7 linked regions of the Mus musculus genome follow. The protein of the gene in region 6 interacts with the protein of the main gene of each other region in a biochemical or structural test. Links are inferred from orthologs where the notes say so. Each region holds a gene or a part of one and is shown on either strand. Other genes may lie near its edges. The genes, in order: Chek1, Chek2, Cdk2, Cdk1, Mark3, Cdc25c and Plk3.

Evidence for each region.
Region 1: of the proteins of Cdc25c (region 6) and Chek1, one has a biochemical effect on the other in vitro, tested with the Homo sapiens proteins (16 studies listed by BioGRID and IntAct, with this or other methods). The link is inferred for Mus musculus from reciprocal best matches to the Homo sapiens genes CDC25C and CHEK1.
Region 2: of the proteins of Cdc25c (region 6) and Chek2, one has a biochemical effect on the other in vitro, tested with the Homo sapiens proteins (14 studies listed by BioGRID). The link is inferred for Mus musculus from reciprocal best matches to the Homo sapiens genes CDC25C and CHEK2.
Region 3: of the proteins of Cdc25c (region 6) and Cdk2, one has a biochemical effect on the other in vitro, tested with the Homo sapiens proteins (3 studies listed by BioGRID). The link is inferred for Mus musculus from reciprocal best matches to the Homo sapiens genes CDC25C and CDK2.
Region 4: the proteins of Cdc25c (region 6) and Cdk1 form a complex in vitro, tested with the Homo sapiens proteins (3 studies listed by BioGRID, with this or other methods). The link is inferred for Mus musculus from reciprocal best matches to the Homo sapiens genes CDC25C and CDK1.
Region 5: of the proteins of Cdc25c (region 6) and Mark3, one has a biochemical effect on the other in vitro, tested with the Homo sapiens proteins (3 studies listed by BioGRID, with this or other methods). The link is inferred for Mus musculus from reciprocal best matches to the Homo sapiens genes CDC25C and MARK3.
Region 7: of the proteins of Cdc25c (region 6) and Plk3, one has a biochemical effect on the other in vitro, tested with the Homo sapiens proteins (2 studies listed by BioGRID, with this or other methods). The link is inferred for Mus musculus from reciprocal best matches to the Homo sapiens genes CDC25C and PLK3.

Annotation. Positions count from the first base shown.
Region 1 is NC_000075.6:36,716,659-36,720,158, forward strand, and holds part of Chek1 (serine/threonine-protein kinase Chk1), read right to left. Parts: intron 3,035-3,500; coding exon 2,846-3,034; intron 1,778-2,845; coding exon 1,673-1,777; intron 1-1,672. UniProt on the Homo sapiens protein: Serine/threonine-protein kinase which is required for checkpoint-mediated cell cycle arrest and activation of DNA repair in response to the presence of DNA damage or unreplicated DNA.
Region 2 is NC_000071.6:110,838,549-110,842,848, forward strand, and holds the start of Chek2 (serine/threonine-protein kinase Chk2), read left to right. Parts: upstream 1-1,500; intron 1,501-1,862; exon of another isoform or gene 1,863-1,992; intron 1,993-2,657; 5' UTR 2,658-2,664; coding exon 2,665-2,995; intron 2,996-4,300. Other genes in the region: iron-sulfur cluster co-chaperone protein HscB isoform 1 precursor, read right to left, coding at 948-1,180. UniProt on the Homo sapiens protein: Serine/threonine-protein kinase which is required for checkpoint-mediated cell cycle arrest, activation of DNA repair and apoptosis in response to the presence of DNA double-strand breaks.
Region 3 is NC_000076.6:128,699,746-128,702,051, reverse strand, and holds part of Cdk2 (cyclin-dependent kinase 2), read left to right. Parts: intron 1-607; coding exon 608-709; intron 710-1,932; coding exon 1,933-2,076; intron 2,077-2,306. UniProt on the Homo sapiens protein: Serine/threonine-protein kinase involved in the control of the cell cycle; essential for meiosis, but dispensable for mitosis. Phosphorylates CABLES1, CTNNB1, CDK2AP2, ERCC6, NBN, USP37, p53/TP53, NPM1, CDK7, RB1, BRCA2, MYC, NPAT, EZH2.
Region 4 is NC_000076.6:69,342,913-69,346,412, forward strand, and holds part of Cdk1 (cyclin-dependent kinase 1), read right to left. Parts: intron 3,320-3,500; coding exon 3,163-3,319; intron 2,273-3,162; coding exon 2,149-2,272; intron 1-2,148. UniProt on the Homo sapiens protein: Plays a key role in the control of the eukaryotic cell cycle by modulating the centrosome cycle as well as mitotic onset; promotes G2-M transition via association with multiple interphase cyclins.
Region 5 is NC_000078.6:111,637,021-111,640,520, reverse strand, and holds part of Mark3 (MAP/microtubule affinity-regulating kinase 3), read right to left. Parts: intron 585-3,500; coding exon 481-584; intron 1-480. UniProt on the Homo sapiens protein: Serine/threonine-protein kinase. Involved in the specific phosphorylation of microtubule-associated proteins for MAP2 and MAP4. Phosphorylates the microtubule-associated protein MAPT/TAU. Phosphorylates CDC25C on 'Ser-216'.
Region 6 is NC_000084.6:34,745,034-34,748,533, forward strand, and holds part of Cdc25c (M-phase inducer phosphatase 3), read right to left. Parts: intron 2,611-3,500; coding exon 2,577-2,610; intron 2,281-2,576; coding exon 2,191-2,280; intron 1-2,190. UniProt on the Homo sapiens protein: Functions as a dosage-dependent inducer in mitotic control. Tyrosine protein phosphatase required for progression of the cell cycle. When phosphorylated, highly effective in activating G2 cells into prophase.
Region 7 is NC_000070.6:117,128,155-117,130,963, forward strand, and holds the end of Plk3 (serine/threonine-protein kinase PLK3), read right to left. Parts: intron 2,664-2,809; coding exon 2,570-2,663; intron 2,438-2,569; coding exon 2,354-2,437; intron 2,252-2,353; coding exon 2,089-2,251; intron 1,936-2,088; coding exon 1,806-1,935; intron 1,246-1,805; coding exon 1,132-1,245; intron 1,025-1,131; coding exon 833-1,024; 3' UTR 501-832; downstream 1-500. Other genes in the region: Tctex1d4 (tctex1 domain-containing protein 4), read left to right, coding at 1-487. UniProt on the Homo sapiens protein: Serine/threonine-protein kinase involved in cell cycle regulation, response to stress and Golgi disassembly. Polo-like kinases act by binding and phosphorylating proteins that are already phosphorylated on a specific motif recognized by the POLO box domains.

The sequences.
Region 1 (3,500 bases), on a different chromosome or scaffold from region 6:
AGGAAATATATATTAATTTTAAAAGGAACTCGTACAATCCCCAACATCACAACATCAAAAACATAATCCAGGGGGGTGGTGAGATGGCTCGGCAGTTAAGCTCAGAACCACCTATAAAGGGATCTGATGCCCTCTTCTGGCAATGTAGGTGTACATACAGAAGAGCACTCCTACATTTAAAAAACAAAAATCATACATAAATCAATTCTTTTAAACCAGGAATGAAAAGTGACTCAGCTTTTAGTCCCAGCTTTCAGAAGGATTGCCACAGTCAGGTCCAGCCTGAGATTCAGGCCAGCATGGGCCAACACAGACCTTGTCTCCCAAAACAGACAAGCGTGCTAGCATCTGAAGGTGGAGTCTGGAAAACCAAAATCATCCTCTCCTACACAACTGAGCTCAGGGTCAGCCTGGGCTAAACAAGACCGTTTCAAAATCAAAGCCAACAACAATCAAACATAAAAATTAACCCACAGAAACACCAAATGAGAATGCAAATAATTTTACAAAAAAAAAAAAAAAAAAAAAAAAAAGAGTAGAAAAGACCTTTCTAATAAGCATGACAATGTAAGTCAAAAGCCAAAAATGACAAGAATTTAGGTATGAAAAACTCAAAACATCTGCACATTAAAATAGCCAGCAAAATTAAATAATAAACTCTAGGAAATACTGCAACAAACGTTATATACATTAATGCGTTATGAAAAGACCCTCAAAGGATTAAGAAAAACTATAAACTTCTTTGCTCAAACAGAGCAAAATTTAAAAAGCTTTAAAAAACAGTCTTATTGGTTTAAAAAATTCATTTTTGCCATGCATAGTGGTGTACTTAATGCCAGTATTCACTAGGCAGAGGCAGACCAATATCTCTGAATATGAAAGTCAGCCTGGTCGATTATATATATAGTAAGTTCCATGCCAGCCTGATCTACATAGTAAGTTCCAGACCACCCAAGGATACAATGAAACCCAGTGTTTCAAAATACAGCAAAAAAGTAACATGAATAAATGACAAAATGGTACAAATTTAAAAAGTAAATTTGTAAAATAAGGGGCAACACTTAAAAGGGGAAATACATAGTCTCTTAGCCCTCCAGTCTTGCTTGTGGGAGAAGAAAAAACTTTAATCAAATAAAGGATACACAAGCATCAAGTAACATGGACACTTATCATACTTCTTCTATAAAAGTAAAATTAAGGAGAAACCTAAATCTCTAAATTGAAAGAGTAAAATATATCCACATAATGAGTACCATCAGTCTTTAAAAATATGATCCAGGCCCATAATTAAAGATGTGGAAAAATGCTGAGCATCACAACTAAAGAGTTATGAAATAGGATTTACCTTTTGCAAAAGCATATACTTATAACTAATATACATACAGTATACATTTGATATATAGATTTTTTAAAAATATTTTTAAAAGTGTATTTCCAAATGCCACAATTATAGAGTTGTTCCCTCCCTCCTTTCCTCCCTTCCTCCCTCTTGACTTACATTTTCTAAGGTAGTTAAAAGGACTACAGAGAAGAAGAAGGAAGAAAAAAGTCAGAAAAGAAGGAGGAGGAGGAAGAAAAGAAGGAGAAGGGGGGGAGAGAGTTAAGAAAAAAATCAACTACCATGACACTATTACCCACAGGATCAATACTTTCAAACAACCCAGTTAGTTACCCAGAGGAGCAGAATCAATTTTTTTCCAAGGATTGAGATAGGTTTTTTTTTCTTTCCAATCAGAATATTCCTGACAGCTATCACTGGGCTGGTCCCACGGCAATTCTAAAAATAAAACAAGTTACAGTTTTTGAGTGTTCATAAAGTTACGTAACAAATATGTCAAGAAAAATAAGCACATAAAAGGAAAATGAACAACATAAAAAGAATACAATTTTTCTCCACAGTAATTCAATATGGTTTTCATGCTAAGTTTCATAGAAACTTACTCTTTTCAAAGGTATCATATTAAAGATGGAGATACAACTTAGTGACAGAATTCTTGCCTGTCAGGTATTGGGCCCTGGGTTTAATCTCCAACAACCCCAAAGGAAGTGTTGAGATTTTTTAATTTAATGGTTATACTTCATGAAAATAAACCTCTGGGTTATAAGTTTCAAGGTAGTTAAGAATAAGATATAAAGTATAATGGGTTAAAAGTTTATTTCCCACTACAGTTTATACCAAAATCTCAACCCCCAAGATAATGAATGTGAGAGCTTATTTGGAGGATCTAGCAGGGAATCAAAGCTACTCAATACACCGAAGGCTAACCCTCTTCTATCCAGGAAAAGTTGTCCTCTTCAACTGAGCCCACATCAGCCTCACCAGGCAAATCAACCAAATCAAACCAAGATCACTGTTTGCAGCCAGATCACTCACTCCCATTCCCAGTGTGATGATTCTGGAGGTGGGGCCTTTGTGGGGTGACTGGGTCATGAGTATGAAAGCCCTCAAAAGTGGGATTTGGGTCCTTATGAAGACACTAAAGAGTCTGTCTCTCCTCTCAGTAAGGTGGTCAACTGTAAGGCAGGAAGAGAGAGGGCCCTCAGAAAATGACCATGCTGGCAACTTCACCACCCAGACTTCAAGCCTTCAAGTTCTATATGAAATAAATCTGTATATAACACACTCACCGAACGGTACTTAGTACCTATCGCCCTAGGCGATGAGTTAAACACTAACATAAAACTATTAAAGAGCTGGAAAGATGCACCACGATTAAAGGCTGGGCTCACAACCTTTTCTATTACAGAATTAAGATTCCCTAGGGTTATTTAATCTTTATTATTTTGGTATGAGAAATCTGACTTTTTGGAGAAAAGAAGTTTTCTCATGATTATATATCCTTACCTCCAGCCAACATTGCAGTAAGTACTATTCCACAGGACCAAACATCAACTGGTTCTGCATGAAATTCTTTTCTCTTTAGAAGCTCCGGAGCAACATAAGGTAAAGTCCCACACATCTTGTTCAGTAAGCGTTCACGATTATTATGCCGAAATACCGTTGCCAAGCCAAAGTCAGAGATTTTGAGGTTATCTAAACCAAAAGAAAAAGAGACAACTTTGGAGTAAAAGATTTGCAAATATATATACACATATATAAATTACTGGAAGTAACACTGGTTTTGCTTAGGGCTTATAGAACTTTTCTACCTGAAAATGAGCAAAAGAAATCTATGTATGTCATAGGCTGGTCTGAACCCCCACCCCCACCCCCACCCCCTCCAGCACATATGTTGCTGCCTTGTAGGGCTGCCTCAGTAGGAGAGGATGTGCCTAGTCCTGTAGAGACTTGATGCCCCAGGGTGGAGGGATAACGGAGGAAGAACCCTCTCAGAGGGGAGGGGGAGGGGGGAAGGGAGGAAGAACTCTTCAAGGGGGTACAGGGAAGGGGCAACACTTGAGATGTAAATAAGTAAAATAATTAATACAAAATAAAACTATGTATATGGAAAAGAAGAAAAAGTAAAAGGCATCGTCATTTATACTCAACTTAGCAAAGA
Region 2 (4,300 bases), on a different chromosome or scaffold from region 6:
TTAGCCTATGTTGGGTTCCCACTTTTGACCCTTTTCCTTCAGCCTACTGAACACTGGGATTTTAGACATAGGCTACTACACTAGGTTTGTTTTGTTCTTAATTGCTTTCGGTTTTTGAGACCTAGTCTCATGTAGCCCAGAGTCTCATCAAACGTACAGGCTCAGCTGTACCCTCTGAGTGCTGGACTCACAGGCATAACACCAACACACCTGGCTTGTTTTGTATTTATTTTCTCCGTTAAATAAATAATTTATTTGCGATGAGATGTTCCCTATTTGTGTGGTTGGCCTCCAAGTGGGGTATCATCTCCTACGGTTGTCTAGCATGCTTTTAATCCTGGCATTGGTGAGGCAGAGGGGGTTGGTGGAATTCCAGGCAGGCCAGGCGAGACTTCAAGGTGAGGCTAAATTAAAAAACAAACAAACAAACAAACAAAAACCTCTCCCAGTTCCTGTAAGTTTGGCCAATGGATTTTCCAGAAGTCTCAGCCCTCAAACCTCCCTATACCGTAAACTTGTCCGTTTCTGTTTGTTGATGTTTAAAAACAAGGTCCTTGTAGCTACTGCTAGTCTTGAATTCCTGAACCTGTGTTTTCCACTTTACAAGTGCTTAGATCACAGACAGGCATCTGCAACTTCACTCCTGTTTGACCCCCGCCTCCACCCTTATCTTCTCTCCAGTCTGTAACTTTATTTCCTCTCCGTCTCAGGAAAACTCCTAAAATCTCACTAGGTACTACTTATACCTATGGCCTACACTTATCCATCTTTGTAGTTGTTTTGAATCAGTCTCGGCAAATTGCCTAAGATGGCTTTGAACTGTGGTCCTCAGCCTCAGACCCCCCCAAGCTGGCTGGAAATTACAGCCCCGCAGACGCGGCCCCAAGCCTAGATCGCTCGGGTTACGAAGCCCGAGCTGCTTTCCCGTCACGACGCGCCGCCCGTACCAGTTCATGAGGCTGAAGTAGTCACGAGTGGGGTCAGGAGGCTGCAGAGCGCGGCAGTGTGAGCAGAAGAACTCATCCCCACACCCGACTTCCCTTGCGTGACCGCAGTTCCAGCACTGCGGTGCAATGCTCTTCCCCGCGGCGGCATTGCTGCCCAAAAGTCTCCTTCCCAGGAACCCTGCCAGCCGCACCTCCCACACACCCAGCAGGGCACGGGCTCCGCATCCCCACATTGGGACGGCCGCTCGCTGACCTAGGTAGCAAGACCCGAGGGAAAGGAGGAAAGACCGTCTCGCTGCTGATTGGTTAAGGGAGTCGAGGAGGCGGGATTAGCCGCGGGAAACCAAGACGTCGAGTCCCGTTCTGCATGTTAAACTACAACTCCCAGCAAGCCTTGAGACTAATCGCGGCAGTCATCTTCGGGCTTTCTTACTGGTCCTGCCGGGGAGGAAGGCTTTTTGATTGGTTGAGGGTGGAGTTTGTATCCGTAGGTTTAGCGCCACTCCACTGGCGGAGGCTGTGCAGTGTTTGCGGCTCCTGGTGGTCTCACGCGGTGAGTCATAAGTGGGAAACTTTAAGTGTTTGAGGAGTCGAATACCGTTCTCATGCTTCTTGTGCAAATGGGCCCTCTGCAGCTTCCGCTTTGTCTGCTTTCTTGTGCGAGCGAGGGGGCGCTGTGCATAGTCAATTCTTCCTTTTTATCTGCCCTTGGGGCGCGCGGGGGGGAAGCGGGGGGGAAGTTCACTTTCCTTGTTCCTTGTGAGCTGAAACAGGTCTGGGCACATAGGAAGGCACAACGCCGGGCTGTTCGTTGCCAGAGCGAAGTAGTTTTCATAACGAACATTATAAATGTTCATGCCAGCCCCTAGATGGCTTTCCCCAAATACCTACTGAGAACCCGATCTTCGCTGCTAGGCTCTGCAGGAACTGAAGAGGGTACGTCTGCATACTCAGCATACGTGAGGGGTAGGATGGCAAGGAATGGATAGGAGACAACCAAGCCATTCTCAGCTTCTGTACATGAAGGAAGATGGTGTAATGCTTTGTAAGTGGCCTCTGGAATTCTATTCATAATCCTGGGATTTTGCTATGGTCACTTTTTTTTCTCCCCACTCATGAATGGGCCTGTCTTTCATTTTGAGGTGGTCATAATGTGCCCGTTCCTTTAAATTTCTTTATGTATTTTTTTTAATCACGTGTCTAAGTCTGTGCAGTGCGCACGGGGGCCAATAGAGGGCATTGTATCACCAAGAGCTGGAATTACAGGTGTTTGTGATCTTTTGGATGTGGGTGCTGGGAACTGTACTCTTGACTCCTTAACTGTCTTCATTTTGTATGTTTGACAATACTGGGAGTGGGATCCAGTACTTTGCTTCTGTTGGAGAAGTGATGAACCATCTACCATTGAGTTATAGCAGCCACATGACTAATTTTGGGTAGAGATTTACTTTACTTTTAATTATGTTATCTGTGTGGGAAAGTGCAAGTGTGAGCTCTGGTGATTGCAGAGGCCAAGATCCACTACAGAGCCACTGACTTTGGAGTTATAGGAAACCTCGAGCTGCCAGATTTGGTGCTGAGAACGTAGGGAAACTTGGGTTCTGCAAGAATAGTATGTGCACTTTCCTGCCGAGTCCTCTCCTGCTCCCTCCCCTTCTCCACTCTCGAATCCAGAGCCTTGTTCCTTATTGTTGGACTCTTGTTTTCGAGGTCGGATATGAAGAGTCATCATCAGTCCCACAGCAGCACCTCCTCGAAGGCTCATGACAGTGCTTCCTGTTCACAGTCCCAGGGTGGCTTCAGCCAGCCCCAAGGCACTCCTTCTCAGTTGCACGAGCTCTCACAGTATCAGGGTTCGTCCAGCTCCTCTACCGGCACAGTGCCGTCCTCCAGCCAGTCCTCGCACTCCAGTTCTGGGACTCTGAGCTCGCTGGAGACAGTGTCTACCCAGGAACTCTGTTCTATTCCTGAGGACCAAGAACCTGAAGAACCTGGTCCTGCCCCTTGGGCTCGGCTATGGGCTCTTCAGGATGGATTCTCCAATCTAGGTAAGGCACTTTGTTATATGATATAGTGTGTGTTCAGAGAAACAGTTAAAGAAGGTGGTTAGGAAAAAAAAAAAGAAGGTGGTTAGGTTGTTGCAGCAGAAGTCTCAGGGCCCCTGTGGTAGAGTTTATCTCCTCCTGGTGGCCCTGTTCATACTGAAGATCAGATTTAGGCCTTACACATAGTAGAGAGCTCTTACATTGAACTACATCCAAGGTCCTATCCCTGGCTACCTTATTTTTATTTTTAAATAGAATCTTGCTAAATTTCATAGGCTAGCCTCAAATTTTTCTTTTTTCTTCAGAAAAAAGATTCTATTGTAGCCTGAGTTAGCCTTGAACTCACTATGTAGCTCAGCCTGGCTGTGAACTTTTGATCTTCCTGCCTCTACTTCCTAAGTGCTGGGTTTATAGGCACACATTTTTATCAGGCTCTACTAGTTTGTTTGTGAGACAAGGAATTCTGCAGCCCAGGTGGGCTTGGAACTCACAGTGTAGTTCCTTGGGGCCTTGAACTTGCATTGATCTTGTCTCAGTTGGGATTACACATATCGACCATATGTGGTTCAAATTTATTCATTTGAATGTGGAGACCTAGCTCATTCTGAGACAGTTTTGAAAGATACTTGTATTAGTCAGGGTTCTCTAGAGGAACAGAACTGATAGAATGAGTATGTATGTATGTATATATAGGGACTAATTAGAGTGGCTTACATGCTATGGTCCAGCTAATTCAACAATGGCTACCCAGGGGAGGTGTAAGAATCCAGTAAGAATCCAGGCAGGATGTCTTAGTTGGTCTTTAGTATACATTACTATCTTGTAGAAGTATGCTCTAGGGGGTTGGAGAGATGGCTCAGTGGTTAAGAGCACTGACTGCTCTTCCAAAGGTCCTGAGTTCAAATCCCAGCAACCATGGTGGCTTGCAACCATCTGTAATGAGATCTGACACCCTCTTTTGGGGTATCTGAAGACAACTACCATGTATTTACATATAATAAATTAAAAAAAAAGTATGCTCACTAGTGCTCAGTGAAGGAATGAACTTGCCAGTAAGAGCGAGATCAAACTGGCAAAGCTTCCTTTTTTCATGCCCATTATATAGGCTGCCAGCAGAAGGTGTGGTCCAGCTTAAAGGTGGATCTTCCCACCTCAAGAGATCTGGATTAGCCCAGATGTGGTAGTAAAAGGAAGCAGAGGCAAAGTGAGCTCTGAGTTTGAGGGTAGCCTGGGAGTTCCAGGATTGCTAGGGCTACACAGAGGGACTCTGTCTCAGAAAAACAAAACAAAACAAAACAAAAAAACCCC
Region 3 (2,306 bases), on a different chromosome or scaffold from region 6:
AATTCATACAAGGTTGCCTGGACAGATACTAGGCCAGGAAAACTGGTTGCTGTATTGTCTAAATATCTCAGATTTTCCAGGAAGGTCCCAAATCTGGGGATTTAGTATTACACTACTGGATAGACAGATGGCTTAATAGTTAGGAGCATATAATCTTGCAGATGACCTGAGTTAAGTTTCCAGAGCCCGTGTCTGGCAGTTTGCAGTCACCCCTAACTCCAGCTCCAAGGCATCAGACACTTTCTTCTGGCTTCTGAGGGCACTGCACAGTTGTGGACACCTACATAGACGTGCATATATGCACGTTATTGGAATAAAAAAATAATAAATCCCCCCCCCCCCTTTTTTTTTTTTTAAGCTTTTCGAGACAGGATTTCTCTGCGTAGCCCTGGCTGTCCTGGAACTCACCCTGTAGACCAGGCTGACCTTGAACTCAGAAATCCGCTTGCCTGCGTCTGCCTCCCAAGTGCTGGGATGAAAGGCGTGTGCCACCACTGCCTGGCAATAAAACCCTTTTTAAAAAGAAGCTGAAGGTAGCAGGGTTTTGTTGAACTGAGGTATGTGACCCTGCCTGCCTTGTAAGCCCTGTTGTCTTCTTGTTCCCCAGGTGGTGACCCTGTGGTACCGAGCACCTGAAATTCTTCTGGGCTGCAAGTACTACTCCACAGCCGTGGATATCTGGAGCCTGGGCTGCATCTTTGCTGAAATGGTATGGAGGCTTGCCAGGTTCTATGCTGCCCACCCATGCCCACATCCAAGAGCAAAACCTTTCTGGAAAAGGGTTTTCCGGGAATCATGGACCTTTTATCACAGGGTTCTCTCAAGTATCACCACTATGGAGGTGGTTGCCCCGATACCAACTACAATTTTGGAATATTCGTAAACACAAGTTATCTAATATATATATATATATCTTATCCCCTGAGTGAGCTCAATCCATTCTGTTACCTATTCCGCCATTTTGTTTTTTGTTCTGTTTTTGAGATACTCTCATTCTGTAGCCCAGACTGGCTTTGTATTCTTGATCCTTTGCTTCGGCTCCACTTTCCACCATTACCATCTCGCCCATGGGACTGACTTGACAGGCATGAGCCACCCTGCTGGCTCCACTCATTCAGCTGTTTCAGCCTTAATCCTCAAATATTTGGAAGAATGAATTCCATTTAGTACAACAGGTGGCCTACAGACCACGTGCTTCCAATGATAGCTGTGAACGTGGTCTCAACACAAAGTCATAAACTTATTTAAAACAGAGTGGGTTTTGTTTTGTGAGTGATAGGGTTTTGTTTTGTTTTGTTGCTTTTGATTGGTTTGGGTTGGTTTGCTTGTTTGGTTTGTTTGTTTTTGTTTTTACAAGACAAGGTTTCTCTGTGTAGCCCTGGCTGTCCTGGAACTTATTTCGTAGACCAGGCTGGCCTCAAACTGAAAGATCTACCTGCCTCTGCCTTCCAAGGGCTGAGTTAAATTAGGTGTGCGCCCAGCTTTGGTTTTTTAACATTTGATTTAATAGTATTTGAGCTTGAACATTGTGGATGAGAATGTCATGTCACAGTGTCAAGGGTTGGGCAGGTCTGTTTTGTTCCCTTTTGTCCTATAGACCTCTTATTCGAAACAAGGAATTTAGTAAAGGCAAGTGGTCTAACTGACCCATGCCTATTGGTTTTGTAGACTTGGTCATGCCCTGCCCCTCAACCTCTGGCTTTTCAGACTGAAGGATCCCTTAAGCCTAGCCTCATATGGGAGCTCCCATTCCATTTAATACAACAATGGGTAGACAGATGAGAAATATTTTTATGGTCCTTTGGGTTGAAACTGGGGACTTGGAGACCATTAGCCTAGATATAGGTATACATATAGAATGTGAATTTATCCACCAGTACCTTACAATTGCCCATATTCCTCTCTCAATTCATCAAAAAAATATTTGTTAAGCACCTAGTGTGTACCCAGCACCATGCTAAGTGCTGTGGGGAACACAGAAGAAATGGAAGACACAGTCTCTGCCCGCTGTGCTCCTATCTAGAAGTGGCTGCATCACAAGGAGGGGGGATGACCGCAGTGTCTGCCCCACACCCCGTGAGTGGCTTGGGATCCCTTTGCTATGCGTCAGGGGCACCCCAGACAGTCACCCCCTCCCAGCCCCACCCAGCCTCGGGAATCTATGAAGCCACGGTTGGGGGAAGGAAGGAGGGGCGAGGAGACAGATAAGGGACTTCATTGTCTCAAGCTCTGTATGACCGACCCCATGATAAGCCCTGGGGAGGGGAGTCATGGGCCCTGCTGCCCTTTCACTGCCTATGGGAACC
Region 4 (3,500 bases), on a different chromosome or scaffold from region 6:
TGTTAGCTTTCTGTGCAGAAGTTTCCTCAGCACTCGTGTCAACTGTTTCTATCCTGAATAAAGCTGTGCTTTTCCATTTCTGTCACTTTACACGTGCATTTCCTCTTTTGAGACAACAGGAAAATATGTAAAACAGCTTAAACTGGGAATGTGTAAAAGTTTGTTCGTAACCTACTTCTCTAGTGTGTGCATGCCCACACATGTGCACTCTTCAATGTAGGTACCCGAGTGACAGGCAGATATTTCTCATTAAACCTGAAGTTCACCATTTTGATCAAAATGGATGGCCCTGGGACACAACAGAGCCATCCCACCCGCAGCCCCTGCCTCTGTCCTTCAGCCTCTGGGCTTATAGATGTCCACACCACCTCACCACCTCCATGTGGAGCCACACCACCACCTCACCACCTCCATGTGGAGCCTGGGAACCAGAGCTCAGCTCCTCGTGCTTGTGCCATAAGCACTTTCCCTCTGAAATGTCCCCAAGCCTTCCAATCCTAAAGCCAAAGGAATCTTTCCCTATCCATAACTTAAGAAAAGTTAGGAGATAGGAGAGAGCAGAAAAATATTGACATTATTCTAAAACATTTGATCTTATACATTATGGCTTTAACAAAACAACAAAAAAATCATTAAGAATACTCTGCTGGAGAGTTTTATGTCAACTTGACAGAAGCTAGAGTTATTGGAGAGGAAGCTTCAACTGAGAAAATGCCTCCTTAAGTACAGGTTGTAAGCAAGCTTGTAAGGCATTTTCTTAATTAGTAATCGCTGGGAGAGGGCCCAGCTCATCATGGGTGGTGCCATCCCTGGACTGGTGGCCCTGGGCTCTCCACAGCCTCTGAATCAGCTCCTGCCCCCAAGTTCCTGGCCAGGAGCTCCTGTCCTGACTTCCTGGGGTGATGAGCAGTTACATGCAAGTGTAAGCCAAACGGCCACTTTCCTCCTCAAGTTGCTTGCTGAGGCCATAGCCTTCATCTCAGCAATAGCCATACAGTGTGAGCACTGGCAGTGGTGGGCACCACTAGCAAGTCACCGTGTGTTAGTAATAATGACTTTTGAAACCACTGAAATACAGAAAGATGAGTGAATATGTACAGGTTATGCAAAAATGAGTAAACACAATAGTATGTTAAATGTCAAATAGAATAACTGTAATAAAACCCTTCCCATAATACACTGAGACTATTTAAAAGTTACATACAGTCAAGTCTTGGTAACAATGTAATAAAATAGTAATTGATTTTTAGAGGACCTATCAACCATGATCTTAAATATAAACACAGATTTTATCACAGTTCCAAGAAGCCACCTCTAAAATGACATAAAGTGGTGGGTGTGGTGGCACATGCTTATAATGCCCACACTTGGGAGATGGCGGCTTGAGGATGAGAGTTCAAGGCCAGCCTGGGCTGCAGAATGAACCTCCACCACCACTCATGACGACTCACTGCAGCCATCACTAAAGTAGGAAGTAATCTAAGTGGAAATGGTTTACTAGCTGTACAAAGTATTAAACCACTACGAAACAGAGACATGAGAGGCTAACTAACGTGTGCAGTGCACATACAGAAGGATCCCACTGGGTTTAGATGCATACAAAGTCAACGTGAACATCTCAAGGCATGCACAGAGTTCAGTGGAAAAATAAAGCCGGTTTAAGGTGAAGACCCCTTTACCATAGACATTTACAACCTATACCCATTTGCTGAGAATAACACTTGCCCAATTATACACAATGCCCTGGATCCAATACCCGGTACCACACACAAAGAACAATAAATACAATTATAATTTAACTGAAATACAATGTTTACATTAACCAAAGCCTACTTGTCAGAGTAAGACCACTTAGCATCAGCACCGGGCTCAGGCTGCTGTCGCTGATCTGCACATAACCACTGTAGCCTGGCCTGCCCCCAGCAATGTGATACATAAGCCACAGGGTAGCACTTAGGTGCTCAGACGCTACTTCTCACTTCTAGAACCTTCTGGAAATGAGACAGGCAGATGATGATCTCATCCGGTGGAAGGAAGGAAAATAAAATGCTGTCTCTTCCCTTACAGGTTTTCTAAGATGCAGCCACAAAACGCAAGGATGGAGCCCACGTTCAGAGAGCGTATTAGTAAAAGCACGCAACTCTTTACCTTAACGAGTGAAGAATCCATGAACTGCCCAGGAGGGATGGAGTCCAGGTACTTCTTGAGGTCCATGGACAGGAACTCAAAGATGAGATACAGCCTGGAGTCCTGCATGAGCACATCCTGCAGGCTGAGCAGAGCAAGCGTGAGTCCAGCCAGCAGCCTGCCTCCACTTCCAACAGCATAACTGCTAACAGTGACCTTCACTCTCAAGTAGAACTTGAGGACGGAAGTTCAGGACAGTAGTCCACAGCCTCCTCTGCAGGAGGAGCTAGCTCACACCGCCTGCACTCCTAAAGCTGGCTGCTCGAGAAGATTAAAGCTGCTCCCTAGTGCCAGCCCCAGTGCAACAACAGTTAGAACCCAGGGGCAGAGGCAGGTCACGCCAGCTACCAGAGGTGCTAAGTAAGGCAAGGATCTCTAGATGCAAAGGATGGAGTGAGCACAAGGTCACCCTGGGTAATTCTGTGAGTGCTGGAGACTGGGTGCGGTGGTTTAAACCCATAATCCCGGCACTTGGGAGCTAGAGGACAGCAGTAAATTCCAGGCCAACCTGGGTGAGCTAGAGTAATATCCTGTCTTAATAATTTCAAAACCCCATATTAGGAGGCCAGAGGCTACAGCTCAGTGGTAGAGCACTTTCTTAGCTCTACCCAAAGGCCTGGGTTCAGTCCCTCCTACCAACAGAAATTCTAATGAACCACCAGACAACGTCCTCAATGACCCAGCCCAAGCAAGTCAATAAAGCATAGCTTATCTACCTCAGCCTGGCCCCTGGTCTCAGGAGCCTCTGGGGACCTGGGCCCTAAAAGTAGGAGCTAAGCAAGCTCCCCATGGAAGGGGTCCCAGGGCTGTGCCTTGCTCCTCTAGCCAATTCTAGCACCCTGTCTCAAATTCTCCAAACACCATCAGCAAAGCAGGACTCCATCCCACTTGAACCAGAAAGTACATAAAAATTTCTACTTTAAAACAGATGTGCAGCAGCACAGGGAGAGTGGCTTCAGTTCTAACACAGCACACCTGACTATATTTGGATGTCGAAGTTCTTTTAATAGAGAGATTTCCCGAATTGCAGTACTGGGCACTCCTTCTTCCTCGCTTTCAAGTCTGATCTTCTTCATGGCCACTATCTGGCCAGTGACTCTGTGTCTACCCTTATACACCACACCGTAAGTACCTGAAAGAAAGCAAAGAGATTTTCTTCTAAGTTGAACTCTTTGAGTATCACACGAGAGAAATGCCAGCTGCAGTCAGATAGGCCCCTCACATCATTAAACCCTCACTGCTTTCAAAAAGGCATTGAAGATAACTACGATCTAACATATACATGGTTTGGAAATAAAGCCCACTGAGTCATC
Region 5 (3,500 bases), on a different chromosome or scaffold from region 6:
TTCACTAGTATTTCAAGGACTGCAAAGACAGACTGACTCTGTGCCCCTAGAGTCTGAGGAGGAGACTACGCTGGCACTGGCCACCTGCACCTGGGAGCAGGCTGTTGACCTTTCCCTGCGCTCTCATTCTGGGTGTGGCTCCTGACCTCAGGCTCCCACCTGCTTCTCTTTCTCTCTAAGCTGTTAGTGTTAGCATCCCCTAGTCAACATGGTCAGGAAATGCTATCGGTCCTTCAGAAACTCCCTGCTTTGACCCTAACTCCTCCTTGTCACAACTGCTGATTATAGGGGTAGAGGCTCTGGACAAAGAGAGAAATCTGGAGTCCTAATATCTTGCTAGAAACTAACATTTAAAGTTTACTTACCTTAAAAGAATAATTGGTAGCCATTTGAATTATAAATTGATTATAAAAGTGAGAAGTAACACACTTTAACTTCTTTTGGGAGAAAACTCTTTTTGCCAATAGGTAAATTTCACACCTGTTTTCTTTGCCGTTCTGAATCACAGAATGTCTGTCTGCTGCACATCTCTCGCTGCAAACGTAAGTGTTCCGCCGTGTCATCCCACCAGATGCTGTGTTACTCTGTAAGAAAGGAGCATTTTTACTTTGGACTATTTGGTGATAAGTATAATTTAGTAAGAACCACCCTCTTCCCCCACCAGAAAAAAAACCCCAAAAAACAAAAAAATATACTAAACACTATTTATGCAAATAAAAAAAAACCTGTAAGAGAGGTGCTGTCTGTGCCTGGAGGGTAGAGATTGGTGTCTGCTTTGTTTCTGAATTATTCTCTACTGACTGAGGAGGTACCTGAACTCAGAACTCTCAGACTGAGGCTGGAGTATTTAGCCAGCTTTTCCAAGGGACATCCTGTCTCTGCCTTTACAGTATTGAGACTATAGGCAAGTGGCCACACCCATCTGGGTTTTATGTGGGTGCTGAGGCCCTGAACTCTGGTACTCACACTTGGGTGGCAGGCAATTTATTCATTAAATCATTTTACAAGACTAACATAGTCGTTTATAAACAAACAAACAAACAAACAGACAAATAAAAAAGTGTCCATGCACACATATGTGTGTTCGTGAGGATGCCAGAAGAGGGCACTGGATCCTCTAGAGCTAGAACTATGGGTGGTGGTGAGCTTCACACCCATAGGTATTGTAGGTATTGGGAACTAAACTTTGGTCCCTTGCAAGAACGGAAAGCACTCTTAGCCAATGAGCCGTCATTCCAGTCTCCTTAAAATTAAAACATGACAACACATTAACAGACGAGCATAGAATAAGTATGAACAACAACAACAAAAAAGTATAAAGGACCAGGACTAAAGAGAGCTCAGCAGTTAAGAGCACTCACTAGCTGCTCTTCCAGAGGAAATGATGAAAAGACTGCTGGTCATTAAGTAAATGCAATTCCAAACCATAAGCTATTACTGCAAACCTGCTACGGATGGCTACAATAAAAAATGAAAATATAAGGACCTTAAGGGCAAGGCACTTTCTGAGAAGGACCCAAGTTCAGATGCAAGCAGCCCAGAACGCATGTAGTAGAACGCATGGAGTGAGTGTGCATTTGCAAGCACATCCTGGGGGCATAGATGGAGTCAGTGGATGCCTCAGACTTGCTGGCCAACCAATCAAGCTGAGTTCTAGGTTTAGCAAGACACCGTGCTGTGTCAAACACAAGTTGGAGAGTAACCTCTGACCTTCACATGTACACTCGTGTGCACCCGGGAATACATACATGTATATATACCACACATGATAAACACAGAAGTGTGGATAGGAGTCAGAAGGATAACTCATTTACTGCTGAAAAGAATTGAAAACAAACAGTTGGCAGTTCCTCAAAGTTAGATCTAATTACAACACAAGCCAACAATTGCATCCCTAGTTAGGAACCCAGGAGAAATGAAAACCTAAAACCCAGCCTTAGTGTCACAGCTGTCATTCCAGCACTTCTGAGGCTGAGGAAGGAGAACTGCTAAGAGTTCAAGGCTACCCTGGACTACATAGTGAGACCCCATTTTGGTTCAACGTCTAGGACCCACAGGTAGAAAGAAACATCTTTCCAAAGCTGTCTTCCGACCTCTCTAGGCATGAGGATGTCTGACCTAATCAGTGAGCGTCAGGGGCAGAGGTTCCTCCTCCTTCCACTGTCAACCTCGGTCCTTCATCCTCATCCACACAGGCAAGTGTATGCACAAGCATACACCGCACACAGACACACAGAACAGAGAACTCTAGGCCACAGACATTTTATACAAATATTTACACTGTCACTCTTTATGTCTAACAGGTAGAAACAATCTAAACGGCTATCATCAGATGGTAACATTTCATTCCTCCTAAAGCTTGAGTGCTAGTCCATTGCATATACGGACTACAATTCATTGGATTGTACACTGTGGCTGTCTCAGACACACCAGAAGAGGGCATCAGATACCATGACAGACGGCTGTGAGCCACCATATAGTGGTTACTAGGAATTGAACTCAGGACCCCTGCAAGAGCAGTCTGTGCCCTAAACCACTGAACCATCTCTCCAGTCCTTGAAGTTTGTGTGTGTGTGTGTGTGTGTGTGTGTTTTGCCTACATGCAAGTCTGTGCACCACGTGTGTAAAGTGCCTATGGTGATCAGAGAGGGTATTAGATCTCCTGGAACTGGAGTTACAGGAAGCTTTGAGCCACCACCATCTGTATGATGGGAAGAATTGAACCTGTGTCTTCTGGATAAGAAACAAGTGCTCTTAAGCTCTGAGATAACTCTCTAGCCCCAATTTATGTTATTTTTAATTATGTGTCTACTTATGAGTACAAGTACTGGCAGATGTCACAGGTAGTCGGTACACATGGAACCAGAGTTACAGATGGTTGTTATTCACCTGAGGGGTGCTGGCAACCACATTCTGGTCTTCGGCAAAGACTCTTCAAACTACTGACCCATTTCTCCAGTCCCTTCACCTTGAACTCCTTGATCATCCTGCCTATACCTTCCAAGCACAATGATTAGGGTTATCCACCACCACACCTAGTTTATGTGATGCCAAAAACTCAACTCGGGACTCTCCCATGCTATGTAAACACTATCAACTGAGCTTTATTTTCGTTTTTGTTTTTTTTTTTTTGGTTTTTGTTTTTGGTTTTTCAAGACAGGGTTTCTCTGTGTAGCTCTGGCTGTCCTGGAACTCACTCTGTAGACCAGGCTGGCCTCGAACTCAGAAATCCACCTGTCTCTGCCCCGCAAGTGCTGGGATTAATTAAAGGCGTGCCTGGCTGAACTTCATTTTCTTATTTATTTATTTAAGTAAGATATGTAAATACACTGTAGCTGTCTTTAGACACTCCAGAAGATGGCATCAGATTTCGTTACAGATGGTTGTGAGCCACCATGTGGTTGCTGGGATTTGAACTCAGGACCTTTGGAAGAGCAGTCGGCTCTCTTAACCGCTGAGCCATCTCACCAGCCCCCTGAACTTCATTTTCAACACCAACC
Region 6 (3,500 bases):
ATATCACGTCTGATCAAACTATGAATAACTCTCCTGAAACACAGAAACGTAATCACTAAATCATATCTGAAGATACAGATAATGCTGTGGATTTGATGTCTGACACACAGATTTGCTTTGGAGGATTTTATCATCATAAGCAAAAGGACAGGGGATGAAAGAAAGCTTGCTTGGGAAGGGATCTGCAATTTTATTTGTAGGTATTTATTATTTTTAAAGTGTATTTAATTTATGTATATGAGTGTTTTGTCTGCATAGATATGTGTGTTACACGTGCCCCTGGTACCTGCAGAGGCCAGAAGGCACTCGATCCCCTGGAACTGGACTTACAGATGAGATGGGTGTGGAGCTGCCATGTGGGTGTTGGCAACTCTGGAAAAGCAGTAAGTGCTTTTAACCACTGAACCACCTCTGTAGTCCTGGACTGTGAGATTTTAAAGAGTGATTTACAAGGGGAGATTAAAACGGCAATAATAGGAATAGAAAGATGACTCAGCTAGCAAAGGTACTCAGCGCAAGGCCTGACAATTTGTGTTCGAGCCCTGGAACTGAGGCGGCCTAAGAAACAGAAGGAACAAACTGACTTCTATAAGTTGTCCTTTGACCTCTACGGGCACATGAGCACACAAACACACACACAGATACACAGACACAGACACAGACACAGACACACATACACACATAATAAATAAATACAGAAAAAAAAATTAAGGGGCAGAGGTAGTAGTAATTTTCAAAAGATGATTATAAACACCTAAAACCAGGCATATCTTCTCTAGTATAAGGAAAGAATAAAAGCATAGTGGGGACTAGAGATAGGGCTCCGTGGTTAAGAGCACTTAGAGAGGACTCAGGTTCAATTCTCAGCACCCACATGGTGGCCAAGAACCACCTGCAACTCCAGTTGCAGAAAATCTAACCACCCTTCCAGCTCTGTGGGCACTGCACTAATGTGGTGCACACACACACACACACAGGCAAAACACTCACGCCCATAAAATAAAAACAAATGAATCTGAAAGAAAAGAGACTAGAATAGCCACTTTAGCATGTACACCGATCTAGCTGAAGGGATGGAAGACACAGAAGACGGCTAGAAAAGCAGTGTAGATGGACGGATTAAAGAATCATCGTAGTAAGTGGTCAGTAAGGCTTATATAAAAAGGACCATAGTGTCCTCAAGAGTTTATCTAAGGAGAAATCAGAAAAAATTAATATGAGCCTGCTAGTAGTGCACAGTTAATCCCACCTAAGAGACTGACATGGGACCTCAAGTTCAAGGTCATAACTTAATGAAATTCTGTCTCAAAGAAAAAAAAAGGCCAAAGGAGGCCAGACACTGAATGTAATTGTCCAGTGACAGAGTGTTTGCTCAGGATACCTGAGGCCTTTCATGCAATCCCTAATACCGAAAGAATGAAAGACGAAAGTTTAGCCTACTGGTGCAGGTCTGTAATCCTAGCTACTTGGAAAGCCTGCATAACTGGACCCTGTATTTTTTTTCTTTAATTTATTTATTGTTACTTAATGTAAATTGGTGTTTTGCCCGCAAGTATGTCTATGTGAGGTTGTGAATTATAGACAGTTTTGAGTTCCCATGTGGTTGCTGGGAATTGAACCCAGGTCTTCTAGAAGAGCAGCCAGTGCTCTTAACCGCTGTGCCATCTCTCCAGTCCCATGGACTCTATCTTAAAAACAGCACACAAAAAGTGAGCTGTAGGCTGCTGCTTGCCTGGCATGCACTAGGGCTGTATACTGCTCCATCCTCAGGAATCCAAGACAAGGCAGGGGTATAGCTCAATGACATGAAAGAGCTGTTTGAACAATGACTACACCCAATCCTTAGCAATAAAAGTGCAAAAAAAAAAAAAAAAAAAAAAAAAAAAAACCCACAAAGAATTTATGAACAAATTATGTTATGTATGTTCTTACAAAGTAAAATTATTTAGGGCTAGCGTTCAGTGGTAAACAGTGCTTGCTGGGAAAGAAGCCTAAAGTCCTGAATTCCAGCCCTGGACCCATGTGAAAAGGCAAAAACTGACTTCCAGCAGTCCATTACAGGAACCTACACTCACACACTGTTTGTGATGCTCTCCAAACAGTTATTTTCAGGATAGCAGCAGCAACTTGAGATCTAAACCAACAAACTGAACAGAGCTGACAGTTCCCAGTTTAGGAAGTAACACTCACATTTTCTTTATGTGCAGATGTGCTACGCTTTGCAATCTTCTTTCTGTGGCCATGATTCATAGCATTCGGAGTACTACAAAGAAGCTGTACCTAAAAGACAGACATGTCTACAGAAAGCATCCAACAGCTACAGCCACACGGCTGTGTGGAACCCTCTGCCATCCACCTGAGAGACAAACCAAAGTCAGGAAGGAAAATCTAGGCTTGGTGGCACATGGCTTCCGTCTCAGTGTTCAACGGCTGCACCAGCCCAGGTAGCTAAACACAGTTAAGAGGCCCTCTCTTAACAGAAAGACAAAGAGAAAGGAAGAGAGGGATGGAGGGAGGGAGGAAAGGAGGGAGGGAGCAGAGGAGGGAGGGAGGGAAAGGGATGGAGGTCTACTTACTGGGATACCTTTCATAAGGTCCTGGTGAAAATCCCTGAAGAGTAAACAAAAACAAGCACTAATCAGCTAATCCCCATACTCAGTTTGGTTCTTCAGTGGTTGGGGCACCCCAGTTTCTTCTGTTCAAGGGGCCCTAGTCTTTGCGATTCTATGTATCTTCTAACAATATTCAGGGTACTAGATATCCAAGACTTAGTGGTGTCCTGGGGGGAAGGCCCTCAATTCACTAGCATAACTATACAAGATAAACATGCACCAAATGGGAGTTTGTCTTCTGTTCAAATTTTAGTGCTAGGGATGGAACCTAGAGCCTTGTACAAGCCAGGTAAACATTCTACCACCAAAGGGCACCCCCCACTCCTGGCTTACTTTTTTTTTTTTTTTTAATTTCTTCTTCCCTCTCAAATTTCTACCTAGTGTGTACAAAATAGGCTATTTAAGGTTTGAAAGAGTTGCATTCAAATCAGTTTTTACTCTCTGTATACCCACTAGCTAACTATTTTAGAATCTCCAGGAGAGACTCCACAGTGGTTGTAACAACAAACAAAATGTTTCGTATGAGCTAGATACATGTTTTGTTTTTCTTCTTTTTTTTTGGGGGGAGGGGGGGTAGGGTGGGGATAGAGGTGGGAGGTGGTATTAAGATAGGGTCTCACACAGCCCAGGCTGGCCTCAGGCTTTTTATGTACCTAAGGCTGGCCTTGACCTTCTGACTCTCATGCCTCTCCCATCTGAGTCCTGAGATTACAAATGTAAACCATGTTACCTGGGTCTGTTTGGAGTATGTTTTTATTTTTGGTTTGGGTGGTGTTTTGTTTTGTTTGAGACAATGTCTCATATAGGCCAGCCTCTCATTTTTATCTAATCTTTGCAATAGCTGTTCTTAATAAGCACTTTTGTTACCTCATATGAATAAAGAAAATA
Region 7 (2,809 bases), on a different chromosome or scaffold from region 6:
CTTTTCGCGCCGCAACTCACTGGCGGGACCCTTAGTGGGTCCTGGAGGTCGACGACCATCCCTGGGCCCAGTGCCCCCTCTAGGTTCACGAGTTAGTTTTTCTGGGCTGCCCCTGATGCTTCCCCGTAGGATGGCACCCTCATACCGCTTAGAACCGGCGCCTGGGGAACACTGGGAAGCTGCAGGTGCCCAGCGGGCCCTGGAGGCAGCACTGACCACACAGCTGAACGGTGTGTGCTACTGCGGTTCTGAGGCAGGGAAACTGGTGCAGGCACTATGTGAACAGATACACACCCGCGTGAGGGAGCTCAACCTACCCCGCTACAAACTCGTGTGCAACGTGGTGCTGGGGCCACGCGAGGGACAGGGTGTGCATGTGGTCAGCCGAGCACTCTGGGATGCGGTGCACGATGGACTGGCCTCTGCCACCTTCACCAACCCTTCTCTGTTTGCTGTGGCTACCGTCCACGCGGTCTACTGGGAATGATAAGGCCTTCAAGTTCTGAAAAAACGGTTTATTACCCCAGGAGGAGGCCCCCCTGGGGCTCACATCCCAATAAATAAATGTCTGTTAATAAATAAAAGTGGTCCATAAATAATGCCCCCTAGCTGGGAGCTAAGGCTCAGGCTTATCTCAGAGAGAAGGGTAAGATTCAGGGAGGGCAGGCCATCCCCGACTGTAGTAAAGCTGGTCCCTGATTCCCTGGGGGGATTCAGCCAGGAGCCCCCAGTGAGGCACCAAAGGGACAGGAAGGGCCACAAAGGCAAGGCCCTGAAGCCTTTCAGGCTCAGGCCCAGGATCTGGATCACAGCCCGCTCTCCGAGTTGGAACCTAAGCAGGGCTTTGGTCCCTGAGCAGGCGCAGAGCGTAGCGCAGTCGCTGCCGCAAGTCTGGGGAGCAGCCCAGCTGCCGGAGGTGGGAAGCGAGGTAAGTACAAGCACTGCGATTGCGGGCCACGAAGGTCACAAGGAGAGGCTCCCAGCCACTGAGGATCAGCTTCGTGTGGTCCCCGTAGAAGTTCACCTGTACACAGAAGATAACAGCGATCAGGACTTGGACACCAGATCCACATTCCTTCCCAGAACCCTGGGATACCAGACCTTCCACCAAAGCACAGGGTAGGCTCTTACCTGGACAGTGCCATCACTGAACAGCATGAGGAGGGCCTGGTCAGTCTTGACCCACTGCAGCAGCAAGGGTGGGGCAGGCACCTCCGCCTCTTCCACACTGGGCAGATCTCCACCCTGGGAGAAGAGGCAAGTCAGGCCCCTGGACTGGCATGAGCTGGGTCTCTCCCTATGGATGCCCCCTTCCCTTACAGGTTCAGCCACTAGCTTTTTTTTTTCCCTAAAAGCCACTAGCTTTTTAAATTAATTTATTTATTTTATGTATATATGAGTGCACTGTCACTGTCTTTAGACACACCAGAAAAGGACATCAGATCCCATTACAGAATTACAGATGGTTGTGAGCTACCATGTGGTTGCTGGGAATTGAACTCAGGATCTGAGGGGCAGCCAGTGCTCTTAACTGCTGAGCCATCTCTCCAGCCCCACTTTTTTTTTTTTACACAATTTATTTATTTTATGTATGTGAGTGCACTGTAGCTGTCTTCAGACACATCAAAAAGAAAGCATTGGATCCCATTACAGATGGTTGTGCACCATGTGGTTGCTGGGATTTGAACTCAGGACTTCCGGAAGTGAAGTCCATGCTCTTAGCCGCTGGGCCATCTCCCCAGCCCTCAGCCACTACCTTTGAGCCACCCCTGCCCCCTAAAGTGCCCCCACCGCAGCCTACACACCTTCATGAGGTGCTGTTCCATGTAGGACGCAAAATACCGCAGGATGCCCAGCTGAGGCTGCAGAGCTCGGGGCACAGAACCCATGGAGAAGGAGAAGTGCTTCGTGCTGGTGGGGTTGTAGTGCACCGTCCTGAAAGTGGGAACGTAGAGAGGAGGAGGAGGAACCCGGCACCACCATTCTTCCCCAGACCCCTAAGCACAGAAACACACACCACGGTGCAACCCTGCTGGTATTGTGGTACCCAGCAAGCCTAATTACAAAGCACGCCAAAACAGCACTTACTTCCTATTGGCTGACAGGGCCATGTGTGTGCCATCATTGAAGAGCACGGCTACACGGCGGCTGGACAGCTGATAGCCAAAGCCAAACTTGTTGGAGTAGTCAACCCACTTGCTGACCCACACCAGAGGCTCTGGCTGTGCCAGCGGGGCTGGGTTCTGTTCGGCTGTTAAGAGGAGAGGAGGGAAATGAAGACTCCCCCAACCCCCCTCCCCCCCACCGCCTCTGGACTTGCAAACTATTCATATGCACCAGAGTCCAGCCTTACCTGGGGGCATGAAGGCCACACAGTTTCTCAGTGCACAGAGGGCAGACTCTACCACTGTGGCCACAGTCAAACCTTCTTCAAACCCTGAAGGGAATAGGGCACTGACATTTAGGCAAGAGCCACCCTGGGCCCAGTTCACCCTCAGCCAACTACTTCCTTCAGCCCCTGGTCTCTACCTCAGCAGCCCCTAGCACCTCTCATCTTGTGGCTCCTCACCATCTCCACTGCTGGCCAGTGTCCCACGGGGCGAGCTGTCCTCGGCAGCTGTCTCTACCAAGCTGGCAGGGGCCTGGCCTGAAACTACAGGAGCCTGGACAGTTGGGGAGAGAGGGAATAAAATTAGGCCCCAAAATCCAAATCCTTGAAAGTCCAATGGCCCAGCCCTGTCCCTGGCGGCTCTCAGGGCACCCCAGGTCAGCCTCAGCTGGCTAATGAGACACAGCCAATTAGGCCACC